3 linked regions of the Arabidopsis thaliana genome follow. The main gene of each other region encodes a partner of the protein of the gene in region 2 in a complex. Each region holds a gene or a part of one and is shown on either strand. Other genes may lie near its edges.

What was found. The genes of interacting proteins can lie anywhere in the genome.
Region 1: AT3G09670 (region 2) and NFC5 share a complex: the UniProt entries of both Arabidopsis thaliana proteins name them as parts of the PRC2 (polycomb repressive complex 2) complex.
Region 3: AT3G09670 (region 2) and AT5G40340 share a complex: the UniProt entries of both Arabidopsis thaliana proteins name them as parts of the PRC2 (polycomb repressive complex 2) complex.

What each region holds. Positions count from the first base shown.
Region 1 is NC_003075.7:14,558,396-14,564,545, reverse strand, and holds NFC5 (nucleosome/chromatin assembly factor group C5), read left to right. Parts: upstream 1-1,944; 5' UTR 1,945-2,023; coding exon 2,024-2,277; intron 2,278-2,769; coding exon 2,770-2,830; intron 2,831-2,939; coding exon 2,940-2,999; intron 3,000-3,097; coding exon 3,098-3,160; intron 3,161-3,277; coding exon 3,278-3,343; intron 3,344-3,460; coding exon 3,461-3,535; intron 3,536-3,656; coding exon 3,657-3,732; intron 3,733-3,804; coding exon 3,805-4,000; intron 4,001-4,125; coding exon 4,126-4,207; intron 4,208-4,297; coding exon 4,298-4,371; intron 4,372-4,459; coding exon 4,460-4,571; intron 4,572-4,678; coding exon 4,679-4,753; intron 4,754-4,835; coding exon 4,836-4,903; coding exon of another isoform or gene 4,904-4,994; coding exon 4,995-5,094; intron 5,095-5,189; coding exon 5,190-5,291; 3' UTR 5,292-5,619; downstream 5,620-6,150. Other genes in the region: AT4G29735 (uncharacterized protein), read left to right, coding at 269-271, 386-486, 1,108-1,173, 1,365-1,443, 1,537-1,584. UniProt on the Arabidopsis thaliana protein: Core histone-binding subunit that may target chromatin assembly factors, chromatin remodeling factors and histone deacetylases to their histone substrates in a manner that is regulated by nucleosomal DNA.
Region 2 is NC_003074.8:2,964,521-2,969,577, forward strand, and holds AT3G09670 (Tudor/PWWP/MBT superfamily protein), read left to right. Parts: upstream 1-1,680; 5' UTR 1,681-1,993; exon of another isoform or gene 1,994-2,000; intron 2,001-2,095; 5' UTR 2,096-2,116; coding exon 2,117-4,297; 3' UTR 4,298-4,538; downstream 4,539-5,057. Other genes in the region: MCM8 (minichromosome maintenance 8), read right to left, coding at 281-444, 539-761, 848-965, 1,039-1,182, 1,449-1,646; AT3G09680 (Ribosomal protein S12/S23 family protein), read right to left, coding at 4,677-4,817, 4,900-5,026. UniProt on the Arabidopsis thaliana protein: Together with PDP1, PDP3 and PDP6, interacts with MSI4/FVE and MSI5 to suppress FLC, MAF4 and MAF5 expression by regulating the function of the PRC2 complex and modulating H3K27me3 level, thereby promoting flowering.
Region 3 is NC_003076.8:16,130,866-16,136,928, reverse strand, and holds AT5G40340 (Tudor/PWWP/MBT superfamily protein), read left to right. Parts: upstream 1-1,535; 5' UTR 1,536-2,069; intron 2,070-2,236; 5' UTR 2,237-2,248; coding exon 2,249-5,275; 3' UTR 5,276-5,532; downstream 5,533-6,063. UniProt on the Arabidopsis thaliana protein: Together with PDP1, PDP2 and PDP6, interacts with MSI4/FVE and MSI5 to suppress FLC, MAF4 and MAF5 expression by regulating the function of the PRC2 complex and modulating H3K27me3 level, thereby promoting flowering.

The DNA of each region.
Region 1 (6,150 bases), on a different chromosome or scaffold from region 2:
ATAAAGTTATACAACGTTAAAAGAAGATAAAGATATGAACACATTTTATATCAAAGGCCTTAATAAGTATATTTGGGCCTATTAAATCGAACCTTTAAACAGAAAAACTGGCCCATAAAATAACCGTGGTTGTGTTATAACAAGCCGGTTAAGTACAAACCGGAAGCGACTCGTGTTTGTTTAGTGAAGCGATCAAGCGAGCGAGATCAGTCAAATAGCTTTTTCATTGTTCCTCAGATCGAAGAAGAAGAAGAAGAGCTTAGCAACAATGGTAAATCTAGATCCGTCCAAGTGCTTTCAGTCACAGCTAATTTGATCTCTCTATTTGTTGCTTTTACGATTTCTGATTTTGTTTGGTGTGTTTGTGCTCGTTCCCGGTGAGAAGGCGGCGAAACCGATTGCGAGTCCGATTCCGGTGGCGCTGTATCCGACTTTATCGGTGTTCACTCTTGCGATTGGTCTCGTCATTACCGCTATCTTCTTCATGTAAGCTAATAATTGATCTGATCTCTAGATCTTCGAAATTGCCCCTTCTTGTTCTCAATTTATATTACTTGATGTCAGATTAGTGAAACAGTTCCTGATAGATTCGATCTACCTATGATTTATCTTGATTTTCATAAAGCTTGATTAGTGTGTGATAGTCATGACTAGGTTCTGAACTATGAATCGTGTGAGGCTCTCCTCTTGTTTGTTCACTGTGTATGAAGCTTGACCAACATTGTTACTGCTTATATATATGGTTTGGTCACAATGCTTTCTCAATTGCTATTCTCTAGAGATAGGTCTTCTAAAGCTCCTGAAGCTACATGTTCATCACTTTCATGATCTCTTTGCTAGATTAATCTGTTGAAATATGTGCCTTTCTTATTACTAAAGTTTCTGGGTAAAAAGTAAGAAAGTCATGGGACTCATCTAGTAACCTTTTGGAAATGTGTGAGCTCTATATACTATCATGATATAAAGACTCAAAATTTATCAATGATAAGGTGATAGTCTATGGAAATGGAATCAGTACTCTAATAGTTTCACTGAATATGACAAAATGACTGATTATCGATTTAGTTAAGATACAAGAAAGTTAGATTTGTATGATTTTCATTTAAGCGTGGAGCATTTACCTTTCAAAGGGTGGCAAGTTTTAGGAGATATGATTCGGTTTGTTAAAGTAATGTGCGTCTGGGCTACGAGAGCATGTGGGTTAGCCTCGAGTCAAAACTTTAAGATAGACTTGAACCATTCATTTTAGCTTCTTTGTAATAAGGTCATATTGGACTCTTTTGGTATTCATTGTGCTGGTTTAGATTCATTCAGCCCAACAAGGAGTGATCAAAACTTACCCTGTCATAACATTTGTGTTGCAGCTATGAAGCTACATCATCCAGGAAAAACCGAAGCGTCGGAAAGGAGCTCGCTACTTCAGCAGTTGCATCTGTCTTCTTGGTATGGATTTTCTTCTTCACCCTCTTGACTTAAGTTTAAGAGTTTTCTTTAAATCTAATGTTTGGTTAAAATCTGTTTCTGTGTTATTTGCAGGGTTTTGGATCGTTGTTTTTGCTACTTGCTAGTGGTGTTTATGTCTGATCCTTCTTCCTCAATACTATTCCCAACTAGTTCAAAGACAAAAAAAACAGATTTATCTTTGTTCAAGTAAAATCAGAGTTATGAATGTTAAGACTTGAGAAGTAGCCTTTAAACACCAAGTTACAATTAAATTATCTTCTTCTTTTGAACGCTAAACCGAGTTTTGGTTTCAATTTTCACCGCCTTTAGAACAGCGTTTGCGTTGTTAAGTTGATCAGTTAGTAACTTTCTACCAAGATTTAGAAGAAAGCTTTACTCAAATTTTGTAATGGGAAGATACTGATTATACTCTTTAGTGTGAAGAAATCATTTTAATTCGCTAATTTAAGTATTTGCCTATTGGGTATTTGCCGGGACGAAGTTTACTCCACGTGGCATAAATAATAATATTATAAAAAAAACAAAGGAGAGTAGAGAGAAAACGAGAGAAAAGAAGGAAATGGAAAGCGAAGCAGCAGCGACTGTTCAAGCCACCAGGCCGAGAAGAGCACCTAGGACTCCGGTGACAGCCATTTTGACGGATAAGAGAAGACGGAAACCTAAGAGCAACAACGAGTCTCAGTTACCATTTTTGCTACAGCAGAGTCAAAAGGCCACCGTTGACGACACTTACTCTCAGTGGAAGACTCTTCTTCCCATTCTCTATGATTCGTTTGTTAATCATACCCTCGTCTGGCCCTCTCTCTCTTGCAGGTCTGTGTTTTTTTTTATAGGTTTTCTGTTTCTAGGGTTTTCGATCTTTGGTTTTGGAGAAAGTTGGTTCTTTTTTGGGAAATAAAAATTCTAGCTTTGTGCTTTTGGTCAGGCGATTGAGTTACATTTCCGTTTCAGCTAGTGAAATACTCATAGATTGAGAGTTTTTCTTAGCTGGTTTCTGGAATTTGTGAGATTAGGACATGTTCTAGTTCGGGTTTTTAATTTAGCTCAGTCTCCATGCTTTTCTGTGTTTCTTTCTCTTTTAGGCTTTTAGCTCATTAGCTATCTGATGTTTCCATTTTTGAACCTCTGGAACTTGTTTTGGTAGGAAAATGATGTCGTTGATAACACTTGACCAACTCGGTTTAGGTGTTCTGTTTTGTTACTTTTTGGTTTCAGATGTTTAGCTGTGCTACGATTTAGTGAAGTGTTTAGCTTTTGTGTAAAGAGGTACGATTTCGTTGTAATCCTGTTGTTTGATTTGAGCAGATGGGGGCCACAGCTTGAGCAAGCAGGTTCTAAGACTCAACGTCTCTATCTCTCGGAACAAGTGAGTTTGCTCTTGTTCTTGTGGTTTGTACATTTTTTCTTGATGAAAAATATCCAAAGTTTGTTTACTGCTCCTTATGTTTACCGTTTTTTCTTGGTTCTGTCATTAGACGAATGGCAGTGTGCCTAATACTTTGGTCATAGCCAATTGCGAAACTGTTAATAGGCAGGTAATTAGTTTTTCTCTACCAAAGCTTGTGCTTTTGTCCTTGTGTTACTCTCTGCTGAGATGAAATTATTGAAATACCGTTTCTTTATATGCTTTCAGCTTAATGAAAAGGCACACTCTCCATTTGTGAAGAAGTACAAGACCATCATCCACCCTGGAGAGGTGTGATATTCCTGTATTCTCATTGTTTTTTCTTAGATGGATTTACTGAATCTGCATTTCGTTTAGGACTTGAGTGCTGAAAAAGATTTTGTTTTGTGTACCCTTCATTCATCGCAGGTCAACAGAATTAGGGAACTCCCTCAAAATAGCAAGATTGTAGCTACTCACACCGACAGTCCTGATGTAAGTTCTGCTTTCTCGGGTCATCAGCGTGACAAAAAAAAGGCTTTCGTTATTCAGTATCCTTGTTTTTGAATAGTTCCAGTTTCAGTCATGCAAGTATGATATATTGGTTTTCAGATTCTCATTTGGAACACTGAGACTCAACCAGACCGGTATGCTGTGCTTGGAGCTCCAGATTCTCGTCCAGATTTGGTATGCTCTTGTGAGAATTTTCGTTATGTTGTCTCACTGAGTTAAACAACCTGCTTGTGCATCATATTAACAATCGAAAGAGCTACTCTTTTTGCATCATTTGAACAACTTTTATTTTCAGTTACTAATTGGGCACCAGGATGATGCTGAATTTGCTCTTGCAATGTGCCCAACCGAACCTTTTGTTCTCTCTGGAGGTTTGTATCAGTTCTATTTTTGTGTCATATCTTGTGGTTTGCAAGTTTCTCATCAAAGATTCTTCCGTGCAGGCAAGGACAAGTCCGTTATTTTGTGGAATATCCAAGACCATATCACAATGGCTGGTTCGGATTCCAAATCCCCTGGATCCAGCTTCAAGCAGACTGGTGAAGGTAGTGATAAAACTGGTGGTCCTTCTGTTGGCCCTCGAGGCATATATAATGGCCACAAAGATACTGTTGAAGACGTGGCATTCTGTCCATCTAGGTAACTTCTTGGGACAGTCTCCTTTTTTAATAAGCTCTTAAGTTTACACCCAAATGCAGACCTACTCAGAATTTTCTGATGCTTTTGGTATAAAAAAATTGGTAATTTTTTGTTTTGTCCTACAGTGCACAAGAATTCTGCAGTGTTGGTGACGATTCTTGCCTTATGCTATGGGACGCAAGAACTGGCACTAGTCCTGCCATGAAGGTACCTCTTTTTTTTAGCCAGATCGACATTTGAGGTTTAACTTTTTGGTCTTGTTTCAGATTCCGTCTGTTTCTTCTTGTGCGCTGGCAGGTTGAGAAGGCACATGATGCTGATCTTCACTGTGTCGATTGGAATCCTCATGACAATAATCTGATCCTGACTGGGTACTGATTTCACAAACTTAAATACTTGTCCAAAAGTACAGAGATGCTACTCGTCCTCTCACTCTACGCTTCTACATCACTTTTCCAGGTCAGCAGATAACACTGTCCGTGTGTTTGACCGCCGAAACCTTACCTCAAATGGAGTTGGTTCACCTGTTTACAAATTTGAAGGCCACAGAGCTGCTGTTCTTTGTGTTCAGGTTTCAACAACATGCCACCACCTCTGTTTTTTTTTTTTGTTTTTTTCTTTTCATATTATTTGTCCTGTAAACCTATCCCCAATGACATTGCTTCGTTATCAATTCAGTGGTCTCCTGATAAATCATCTGTTTTTGGGAGTTCTGCAGAAGATGGTCTCTTGAACATATGGGATTGTGATAGGGTTAGTACAATTTCTCACATTCACATTTAAAACTATTCTCTTACTTTCAAGCTCACCATATTAACATATATGTGTGCACCAGGTTGGCAAGAAGTCTGAGCGTGCAACCAAAACTCCTGATGGGCTTTTCTTCCAGCATGCTGGTCACAGGTTCTCAAGACTTAATTCTAATTCACTTGCTTGCCTTTCCCTTTTACTCTCTTCAGTGGAATCTATAATTTCCTCGTGTATATCTTCTTAGGGACAAAGTGGTCGACTTCCACTGGAGCCTATTGAACCCTTGGACTATTGTCAGTGTTTCTGATAATTGTGAGAGTATCGGTGGAGGTGGTACATTGCAGGTACTTTTAAATGTCTTGCTACATTTACTCTGGAACCTACCTATGATTAACTTTCTCGGTAAAAATGAAAACTTTTGATTTGTAAATTAATGCAGATATGGCGGATGAGTGACTTGATTTACAGACCGGAAGATGAAGTCCTGACAGAGCTAGAGAAATTCAAGTCACATGTTTTCACATGTACCTCCAAGTCTTGAGGAAGCAATCCCATCATGTCTATTAGTATTAGTAAGTTGCTGGGGTTTAGTGTCAGTTTTTGCGAGGAAAATCAGTTTACTTATGCGATTTAGGTGTTATTTTTGCGGAATATTACTTGGTTTATGTAGGCCAGTAATTCAACATATTGGTAGATTTAGGACTTCCGGAATCTTGTATGGTACTTGATCCTGTTTCTTCAGGTTAATCCTAGGCACCTAACTTGCTTGTATTTTCAACTTTTTTTTTTGTGAATCCAAACTTGGTTAAGCAAGACCAAACTAAAACAACAGATTGAATCAGTGAAATCCAAATCTCAAGTGCTTGACATTTGACTCATGTGTCCCTGAACCGTTCAGTTCTACTTCCAACAACAAAAGCAGATAGAAAATCGTCGCTCTTCACCTCTATTCGGTTTCATTTCAAGCAAGATTGGTTCTGCGTAAACCGGGTTGAACCGGATCAACTCATTAGATCTACAAAGGATTTGTGCAATCTTAAGACCTGACATCTATACAAACTTGCAGACAATTGAACTTAATACTCTTGGGATTGTGGGGTGAGGGAGTTAGGTAGCAACATTTGAGGAAATTTATTGCATAATATCTTCTAGTAGATTCTCTCTCTCTCTCTCTCTCTCTCTCTCTCTCTCTCTCTCTCTCTCTCTCTCTCTCTAGTTAAAAACATCTAGGTACTAAGCCTTTCATGGGGTTTTGATTTATCTGACATTAAGTACACTACTCATTTATAGATATAAGACCATCTCATAGGGGCTTCTCTAGGTTTTGTTGGATTCTCATCATTGATTCATTGCAGCTATAACCAAACAAAACCTTCTTTGTCGACGCATACAAACACACA
Region 2 (5,057 bases):
AAATGTTTGTTAAGCTTGAGTATGGCTTAATACCAGTAATGAGGCTTCTAGCTCCTTGATCTTTGGTAAAATGTCAATATGAGTAAAACAAACAACTTAGCAGTGCTCTATTTTACTTTCCTGCAATGAGATTCCCAAAAACCATGGAAGAGAACTTTAAGAGACAAATTTCCAGCTATTCTACGGGTAAGGATAGCAGGCGTTTGGGCATGTTAATGTTTGCAAATTATGGACACAACAAGGATGGAGAGAACTCCATGAAAAGTTATAAAATCAATACCTCCCCCAATGTCCATGTAATTATTAATTACTCCTATAATCCCTGTAACTGTCACCACATCACCAGGGATACATATGTCCACAAGGTCTTCCATCAGCTCACATTCTACAGTTCTGGGTACCCGTCCTTCTTCGTGGTCTTCAGGCTTTTGCAATTCCTGTACCCTAAAATGCATTTGGACAGCTGGTTAACAATGGTCAGATACATAACTAACAAGGATGAAGTACACAAAATGATGAGACGCAAATAGGAGAACACCTGATTTTCTGAAAATCAATTGTCTGAGCAGAGGACCGGATTGGAGTAAACGTTTTGGACTTGCATCCATGGGAATCACATTTTAGTGGAGGAGAAAACTTTCCATCAGTAAATTCCCGGGTTATGCCAGTTTTGCACTTTCCACAGTCAAAAGCCATCTGTGTGACAAGGGGTTTCACAGTACTAACTTTAACAACAGTCCCATGAACGGTTACAAGCTTTCCTGCAATTTCAAAAGCACACACTCATGCTATGTCTCACTTAAGGTTTTACATCTTATTATTTATTTCGCTAGATGAGACAGTCTACCAATATAAGCTGCTCTCAGGTTTTTCAGGGAGATAGAAGATTCAGGATAATTATGCAGACGAACATTGATCTTCATAACATTCTCAAACTCATTAGTCTCCCATTGATCAAAAAGAACCTGTGAGAGATGACATAAGTCTTCATCTTATGCCAACCAAGAAAACAAACCCCAATGAAAAGTAATAGCATACCTTGTGAACAGCAGCATTCATACATGGGATAACTCCTTTAGGATTATCCTCTAGATTTATGAAAAAGTTCTCGATATCAGATATTTTCTTGAATTGTTGGAGATCAAGAGACAAAGAGAAGGAACCACCACCGTCTTCATTCACCTGGCTCAAGCCATGGAATAAACTTATAAACTGTTTCTCCTATTTTTAGATACTAAGAAGAACTAATTGACGCATAGAGAAGTTGATTAATCGTTTTCTATCTACCCTAATTCTTCATAGAAGTAGAGTGGAAACGAAATCTAGCTAAATAGATTACAATTTCATAACCGGAATTTAATTTCGAAATCAAGCTATACCAAGCTTTATAAAATTCAGATTTATAAACTTTTTACCAGAAATTTGATGATGGCCAAGTGAGGATGTACCTGAGAAACTATGTCTCTACCAGGTGATGCGGAGAATACGCGGATGAGCTCCGCCGTGAGCTGCAACTTATCCTCGTCGATGGCCAAATTCTCGTTGTCCTTGATGTATACAGCTAATATTTTCCCGATGCCGAGAGAATCAATTCCTGTTGATTCAGGGCGACCCGATGCCATGCTTCCACCACCGTAAAATCCCATCACCGCTTAACCCACTGTAACTCGCTCGTCGTCAGTCGCAGAGAAAAATCTCGCTTAGGCCAATGGGTTTTGGCGGGAAAAAGGTAAAGGGCTTTTTGTGATGGGTTTTTGGTAAGTGGGCCAAATGATTGAACCCTAAAACCCAAAGATAACCAAAAGAAAGGATAAAATCAATTAATAAAGCTTTAGTTGTCCGCCACGTGGACTGAACCGCACAAAAATTCACAACAACAAAAAAAAAACGAGAAACCCGTTTCTGGTTCGATTTGACGTCTTCGTTTACTTCATTTCTATAAACGAGCTCCCGCCGCCGGAAAATTCGCTGTTCATCACCACCGTGACCAGAGGTTTGTTGTGAGCACCTTCTCTATCTTTCTTTCTTCACCTGTAGGTTCTGTTATATGTTTTGTTGGGAAATGAACTGAAGAAAATTTCTGATGATTTTCTAGGGTTTTGTTTTGGTACTGCTTATGTCGACGGAATCAGAACGTATTGAATCAGTCTCAGAGGCTAATGCGTCGAGTTTAGAGGTCGGAAATGATCAAATGTCTGAAGCCCTAGCTGGTCAAGCTCAGGAGCTGAAAACAATTGGAGATGATAAAGAAGGATGCGGCAACTTTGCTTCAGCTGGTGATAATGGGATGGAGAAAGTAAATGGATTTACTAATCTTGTTAAGGAAACGGAATCTGTAAATGGAGAGTTAGATCTAGGCACTAGAACCGAAAATGTAGGTGGAGAGAGTAACCAAAGTGACAAGAAGGTTCTAGTAGATAGCGAAGAGGTCATGATGGTAGAGAAAAGGGGGCTTCTTGTTGAGAAGGAAGTGGAACCTGACATGGTCTGTTCTCATGGCGCTGATCTCAGTGATGTGAAGGTTTCTGATGGCAGACTGGATAGTGAAGACCTTGTTCAGGATAGAAAACCCGATGGCTTAGAAAAGCAAGGAACAAAAGTTGAGGACTTGGATGTTGTATGTTTTATGGGTTTAGAACCGCATGAGAGCAAGGATGAGAGTATTTTGGATGATGAAATTGCCCATGTAGCTGCGAAGGTGAAGATCTCTGACTCAGATTTGGTTTGGGCTAAAGTAAGGAGCCATCCGTGGTGGCCTGGACAGGTGTTTGATGCCTCGGCTGCAACAGACAAGGCGAAGAAGCATTTCAAGAAAGGAAGTTTCTTAGTAACTTATTTTGGAGATTGCACCTTTGCTTGGAATGAGGCGTCACGGATTAAGCCTTTTCGACAGCATTTCTCCCAAATGGCAAAGCAGAGTAGTCTACCTGATTTTATTGATGCTATTGATTTTGCGTTAGAAGAGGTATCAAGAAGGATAGAGTTTGGTTTAGCTTGTTCTTGTATCTCAGAGGAAGTCTATCAGAAGATCAAGACTCAGAATGTAATCAATCCTGGAATCCGAGAAGATTCAAGCTCAATACACGGTGGAGACAAGGTCTCAAGTGCAGTCTTCTTTGAACCTGCAAACCTTGTGGGATATGTGAAGCGTTTAGCATGCTCTCCTAGCTATGATGCTACTGATGCGCTGCAGCTTGTAAGTCAGAGAGCACAGTTATTAGCTTTTAATCGCTGGAAAGGCTATACTGACCTCCCCGAGTTTATGACACTCCAGGGGTCAGTAGAGTCTGCACCCAAGATTTCTCCTGCAGAAGAGCAAAGTAGCTTAGTGGAAGTTTCTGATCCTGAACCAACAAAGAGTAAACAAGTTTATACTAAAAGAAGAAAGACAAACCTGCAAACAGAGCAAAGTAGCTTAGTTGAAGTTTCTGATCCTGATAAAGGTGACTGTAAACACGATGGAGTGTTTGAATATGAAGAAACTATTGTTCCAAAGAAAAAGGAGAAAACTTTGGCAGAGTTCATTGCTGAGAAACGCGTAAGCAGACATAATGGGAACACATCACATGAAAAGTCTGGTAATGTTCCGCATTGCGAAAAGAAACGCAAGGTTGTGCAGTCAAAAGTTCCCAAGTCCACGAAAAAGATTAAGGCAAACCTGCAAACAGAGGATCCAGGATCTCCAGTTTCTCCCAAAAATGATCGAAAAAATAATTTGTCTGCTGGTGATAAGATTACACCACAGAAAGCTAGAAAAAGTTTCGGAATTGGGGCAAGCATATTGAAAGTGGCAAACCAGATGCATTGTTCAACACCAACCAGACTCTTACCTTGCAGTGATTCGACCTCCAAAAAGGCAGCCAAGAGCAATGGCAGTGGAAAGAGTCTTCAGGAGAAACCTAAAGCCGAAGCATTATCAGCAAGAGAAATTTCTCCTTCAACTACACTTTCAAGCCCTCACGCTGCTTCTGTTACCAAAACCACAAGTGGGAAATCCAATTCTGTCAGCCTAGACCACAACCTATCCGGAGAACTTGATCAGGTCAGAAAGGAAGCTCCTAGTACTAACCTTGTGGAGGACCCGATGTTGGAGTCTAGAGACTTGAAAGACTCTTCTAAGGAGCAGGTCGTACATGAGGATAAGAAAGAAGCTGCAAATGTAGCGGATGAGAAATCTATTATGGACAGCAATCTAACCGGGGAGAAAATCAGTGGCTTGGACTTGAGAGAGCAGCCGAGTAACAAGAACTGCTCTGGTGGATCTGATAGTTGCAAGGAAGATGTTTCTGCAGAGTAGGAAGGCTCAGCATCAGCGTCTAACCCACTAATACAGATCTTTCTAAAATCGAGTCCGGTTCTTGTTAGTACCCAAGAGTGGAATATACCTTTTAGATGGATTCTCTTCTCTTTCAAAGTTTAGAATTGTATGATTTAATCAGAGTTGAACAAACACTAGTGAGAGAATGTAACAAAGTTATTTTTGTTTTTCCAGATTTGTGCAATTTAATGGTCAATAATTCATTTGAATCCAAAACTAATTATGAATTTGAATAAATAAATTAGAATCCAAACAAAATTAACCTCAACTCGGAGGAAAATAGAATAAGAGATGTCACTGAATAAGTACATAGACATGCCTTCAAATATCAAAAAAAATTCATAAAATGTAGTAGAGCTCAAGACCTAGGCTTCTCCTTCTTTTCCTTGAAAAGGGCCAAGAGTGAGACACCAGAGACCTTCACCACTTTGAACCTAACTCCGGGAATATCTCCGACGGCATGACCTTTACGCCCAAATCCAGCAATCAACACCTCGTCCTACACACAGTATCAATGAATGAGTAATTGGTAAGAATATAATTTGATTACTCATTCAAAAGTAGATGTCAATCTAACTTACATTTTCTTCAATGTAGTTCAAACAACCATCATTGGGGACAAAGGCAGCAATCTTTTTACCATTCTTGATCAACTGAACTCTAGCACACTTACGGATAGCAGAGTTAGGCTGCTTAGCCTCAATACCACTGCATAATCAAACACAGAGTCTCATCAAAG
Region 3 (6,063 bases), on a different chromosome or scaffold from region 2:
ATTTCTAATCATGTAGATTAAGATCATTTTTATGATATGCGTATAAATATTGTAGAAAAGATTAAGGTGCACAATCTAGATTTGGATAGATAGAAAAAGTAGAGGCATTGGTTTAGCTATCATATGTTCTCATCACATCAAGAGACTTGGATCTTAATTAATCAATGTTTCCATATTTACTGATAAATAAAAAAGTTATAAAGTAGACAAACCGTTGATATAATTTTTCACGTCCAAAGAGAGTACGTAGATCACCTCATGACCAGGTTGCTTTATAGTGTTTAGATTGTATAGCATTCATATTCTGACTGAATCTCTAGAACATATGCTCAAATCATTTCGTTTGGAGTTTTGACCCATCCTCAAATCATATTATATATGCATTCTATGCAAGTACAAATATGAACCATTACATTTTGTTGAATTAGGTTGCATGTCTTTTTAGTTTTGCCCACATGTTTTTCGTGTGAGAATTGTGAATTCCCCATGTGAATCATAAATGAAAAGATAACATGGTGGGTCGTTCACAACTTACAATTCGGAATTATTTTAAACGTGTCTGAATTCCCTTGGCACTGTAATGATCCGTCTGTTACGTTGCCTTGGGCCTTGGGCTTTGGAGATGGACTAATATTTACACAAGTTGGGTTCAAGGTCATTGAGCTTTCTTTCAAACTATGATTAAGTAGTGGGAAATATATGATTCATATATCACTATTACTTGGTATTACAGTTCTAATACAGATTATACAGTTGATTCATATTGGTTCGCCGTCGATACTACATATAATCATGTCATGAGAACGTGTTGTTCGTGTAAAATTAACACAACAAGAAAATTACGTTTAGATGTATCAAATGTTATCCTAACAGATTTCACATGTTATATAGTCTCAACGAAAAAAATTAAAACATTTAAACTGGGTCAAAAGATGTATTTAAGCGATTTTCTTATATGGTGTAACATAAGTTGACCAAAAAGATTGAATATGAATTAGTGTGAAGATTGATTCAATGACTAAATCTAGTTTAATCATAAAATCTAAACATTTATCTTTTTTTAATAAAACTCAAACCGATAAATAATTTTGTTTTAGTAACAAATTAGATTTTATAAGTAAATTAATTTTTTTATTATTATTAAATGTCAAATTTTAATTGAATAAAATAAAAAAAGTGAATATAAGGGTTCAACTCAAATATTTTTCAATTCAATATATATAACCAAGATTTTCGTTACCACTCCACTTAAGTAATGCAGTGAATGAAAAAGAAAAAATAATCAGTGTCTAAAATCAAAATACCGTTGGTCAGTTGAATAATGAAAAAGAAAAGATCTTTGATTTTCCTTTTACTTGGTAGATTCCTACTCTTTAGGATTGAGGTTTTAATAAAAGACTTTAATCAACAAGCACTAAATTTAAGATACTGGTGTTGTGTAATAATAAGTTTGGGCCGAGCAAAAAAAGAAAAGGACTGGGCCGAGAAACGGCAAATATTTGTGTCGTTTCAAATACCAAATTCAAAATCTCCATTCTTTTATTACTCTGCTTATTAGCCGTCTAAGCATATTACAGCTGTCAATCATCGAAAGCATGTGACGCGTCTCTCTTATTTCATCCCACTCGCGTTCATATACACGTGTTATCTACTCTCTATCCGATTTCCGCCACGTAAGAATCTAGACACTGATGTTCTTATACACATAGCGAGTAAGCTGTATTTTACACTCTCGTAGCTAGTCAGTTTATTGTGATAGCGACACGGCTGATTTAGGGAAATAAATTAAAAACGTTGTCTTATTCCTGGGGCAAAAAAAAGCAGATAAGTAAGCAAAAAAAAAAACTCATTAATTACGAAAGTACCCTTAAATTTCTCCGAAAGGAAATTTTTGCGCCGCGTTTCATCTTCTCTCAAATCAAAATCCAGAGAGAAAAAAAAGAGAGGATTTTTCTCATGAGATTCTGAGAGTGTCTTTGTTCTTCTTACAAAGAAGTGTTTTTTCTTGAAGATTCTTCGGTCGCTGTTCGAAAAGTTGTTGTTTCGTTTCTCTCGGAGCTCAAAATCAGGTAAAAAATTTGTTACTTTATATTTTCGTTTTTCTAGGTTTTTCGTAAGAGTTAACCTAATTTCAAAATTTGTTTTTTTGGGAGATATTGTTGGGTTTGTGTGTAAATAGTTAGGTTGATTTTTTTTTCTGATTTGTTTGTCGTTTTGTGATTTTTTTTTTCTACAGTCGGGAAGAAAAATGGAAATTGAAGTTGTTTTGGGAATCGGAGAAGATGCGGGACCTAAGCCTTGTTCTGCAGAGATTGAATCAGCTGAGAAAACCCTAAAAGATGATGGTGTTGTTCAAGAGAACGGTGTTAGGGTTTCCGACAACGGTGAGAAAAAGTCTGATGTTGTTGTTGATGTTGACGAGAAAAATGAGAAGAATTTGAACGAATCTGGAGTTATTGAAGATTGTGTTATGAATGGAGTTTCTTCCTTGCTCAAATTGAAGGAAGATGTGGAAGAAGAAGAAGAAGAAGAAGAAGAAGAAGAAGAGGAAGAAGAAGATGGCGAAGATGAAGAAGAAGAAGAAGAAGAAGAAGAAGAAGAAGAAGAAGAAGAGCATGGATACTGTGTAGGAGATTTTGTGTGGGGAAAAATTAAGAATCATCCATGGTGGCCAGGTCAGATTTATGATCCATCAGATGCTTCAGATTTGGCTTTGAAGATAAAGCAAAAAGGGAAATTGCTTGTGGCGTGTTTCGGAGACGGGACATTTGCTTGGTGCGGTGCGTCGCAGTTGAAACCGTTTGCAGAGAGTTTCAAAGAGTGTTCGAAAGTGAGTAATTCGCGGAGTTTTCTAGGTGCAGTGGAAGAGGCGGTTGAAGAAATTGGTAGACATATTGAGCGTGTATTGGTATGTGATTGTGCTGAGGAGAAGAAGCATGAGTTTGATAGTCCTTTAGTTAACAATGCTGGGATTAAAGAAGGTGTTTTGGTGCGTGATGTGAGACGGGAAATGATTTCGTCGTTGTTGATTGGTAAACATGGAGAGATTCTTAAAGATGTTAAGAGTTTTGCAGAGACTGTTAGTTTTAGTGGCTTGCTTGAGCTGGAGATATTGAAAAGGAAGGTATCTGCGTTTTATCGGTCTAATAGAGGATATGGTTTGACTGAGTATCATGAACCTCAATCAGTTCCAGGACTTGAAGACAAGAACAATGATGATGATGATGATGATGAAGAAAAGAATGTTAATGATGGGTTACAATGGCGTGCTAAACGGTCTAGAGTAGAAGAAGTAGCAGCTTTGGATCATGAAGAGTCGTCGTCTCTTCAGAGATCGTTAGAGAAGTGTTCTGGTTTTCCTGATCATAGGCTTCCCCACAGAAGGAAGGAGAAAAGCATTACTGAAATAATTGAGAAGGAGTCAGCTGCTAAGGTTAGGTTTGAGACAGAACCTGCGGATGGAGATGTAAAGTCAAATGTTAAGTCGGGTAGGAAGAAAACAAAACGCCATGATGAAGTTAATGGTGATCTTGAAAATGTAACTACTACTGCACTGTGGAGGAGAAGAAAGAGTGAAGTAGCTACAATTGAAGACGGTGGTAACAAGCAAGTGGTAGAAAGTAGCAAAGGCAAAACTTCGAGGAAGAAGAAGAAAATGGATGTGGATGATGGCGATGATGATGGGAGTGGAGACAAAGAAGAGTCTGAGGAAAAAGAGATTTCAGATCTGGAAATAAATATCGATTCAACTTCATTAGCTTCGCTGCGGAAAAAGGTAAGGTTTGATGATTCAGTCGTTGAAAGGAGTACTGAAAATGGCGAGACCGCTACACAAACATCAAAGAGAGAGAGGAAGAAGAGCAAGTATCTCTCGCCTGATTTCTTGTCAGATTTTTCACGGAAAGGAAGAAAAAAGAGTACAATCGAATCTGAATCTTCGAAAGTTTCAAGTCAGAGCCAAGTAGACGAGCGAGTGACTGATGCTAGTGATAGCCTCATGGAAGTGGAAGAAGATACGTTGGATAAACCTTGTGAACCATCATCTGATAATGGATTAGGTCAAGAAGAACTGTCTAGGGAACTTAGTAATGCCGTCGACTTTCTGAGGTTGGGAGCTACACCAAAGGAAATGCAGGATCTAATTCGTGTAGCTGCTCTTGGCACACAATATCCAAAAGACAGTAGCTCAAGAGACATGGTAAGAGAATTCATGACCATCTATAGAAGCTTCACATATCATGATGGAGCCAATCACAAGTTCTTAGGGAGCTATGATAGTTCGGATAAAGAAAAGGAAGAACTGAGTGAGATGGGTAAGCCTGTAACTAAGGGGAAAGAGAAGAAAGATAAGAAGGGTAAAGCAAAGCAGAAAGCAGAGGAGATAGAGGTAACTGGTAAAGAAGAGAATGAGACAGACAAGCATGGGAAAATGAAGAAAGAGCGAAAACGTAAGAAGTCTGAATCAAAGAAGGAAGGGGGTGAAGGAGAAGAAACCCAGAAAGAGGCTAATGAGTCAACAAAGAAAGAGAGAAAACGTAAGAAGTCTGAATCAAAGAAGCAATCAGATGGAGAAGAAGAAACTCAGAAAGAGCCAAGTGAGTCAACTAAAAAAGAGAGAAAACGTAAGAATCCTGAATCAAAGAAGAAGGCAGAAGCAGTTGAAGAAGAAGAAACCCGGAAAGAGTCTGTTGAATCAACCAAGAAAGAGAGAAAACGGAAGAAGCCTAAACACGACGAAGAAGAAGTCCCGAATGAGACTGAGAAACCCGAGAAGAAGAAGAAAAAGAAGAGAGAGGGAAAGTCTAAAAAGAAAGAAACTGAGACGGAATTTTCAGGAGCTGAGCTATATGTTACATTTGGTCCTGGTTCAAGTTTGCCTAAAAAGGAAGATCTGATTGAAATATATGAAAAATTTGGAGCTTTGGACAAAGAGAGAACTGATACGGTCGACAACAACTTCTCTGCCCATGTGGCTTTCTTGGATGTAGCTGATGGAGAAAAAGCCTTTGAATCCTCACTAGAGAAATGTCCGTTTACTTCTAATTCGACGGTGAAATTCAGACTCAAGTATCCAAATGAGAGAACAGAGGAGAAGAAAACTGAAGCTGAAGTTGCAGAGACGACAATGGAGGTGGAATATCTGAAGAAAAAGCTGGATGAGATGAAATTGTTACTTGATGGATGCGAAGGAGGAATGACTGAAGAAGTGAAAGTGAAACTTGAAGGTGAGATGGTAAATTTGTTGGAGAAAGTGATAGAGATGAGATCTTCTTAGGATTATGATTTTATGTTTTTATTTTGTTGGTTGAGAACTTTCAGGACAGGTTTTAGGATATTTATGGTTTCTGCAAAACATAACAAAAGTATTTTGAGAGGTTAATGTCTTGGTGATACTATGATCTTGTCGTAGGGTAGACAGAATTAGATCGATGTTCTATGTTTTTGTGTAGACTTTTTTAAAGTTTACCAACTTTGATACTAAACCCATTAGTGGGCTTTTGGTTTATCACTCTCTTGAAAGCCCACTAATTTTATTATATTACAAACAAAATTTTCAAAATCCTTTCGACGAGTATTGAATGTTTGATGAAGCCATACAAAGAGGGAGGTTGGAGATTTTTATTAGAAAGGGAGTCTCGTCGAGACTGAATCATTTACGTAATGCTAATTAGTGATCCAACAACATAAATGTTCTAAGACAATGAACAAATTCAACCATTTGATTGATCACAAAAAATGTATCCAGATAATGTATAAGAGTTAATTAAGATATTTGGCCAATTTCAAATTCAATTATCAAATTCAGAACATTAGGCTTAATCATGTTTGCTTGTTCATGTTTGCTTGTTCGTTTTTGCGTTAGTTCTCGGAGAAGCTGTAGACTTCTATCTTTGAGGTTTTGTGGACGGACCTTGAATAATCATGCTCGTGGCAACTAGGATGAGGATTCCAATACTTCGGTACTGCGGCAACAACGCAAATTTCCGAGCTTCGCGGACTCGGAATCGGTGTTTCTCCTCCTAACTTGGCCTTGATCACTCATCGGCGATCCTTTGCAATTAG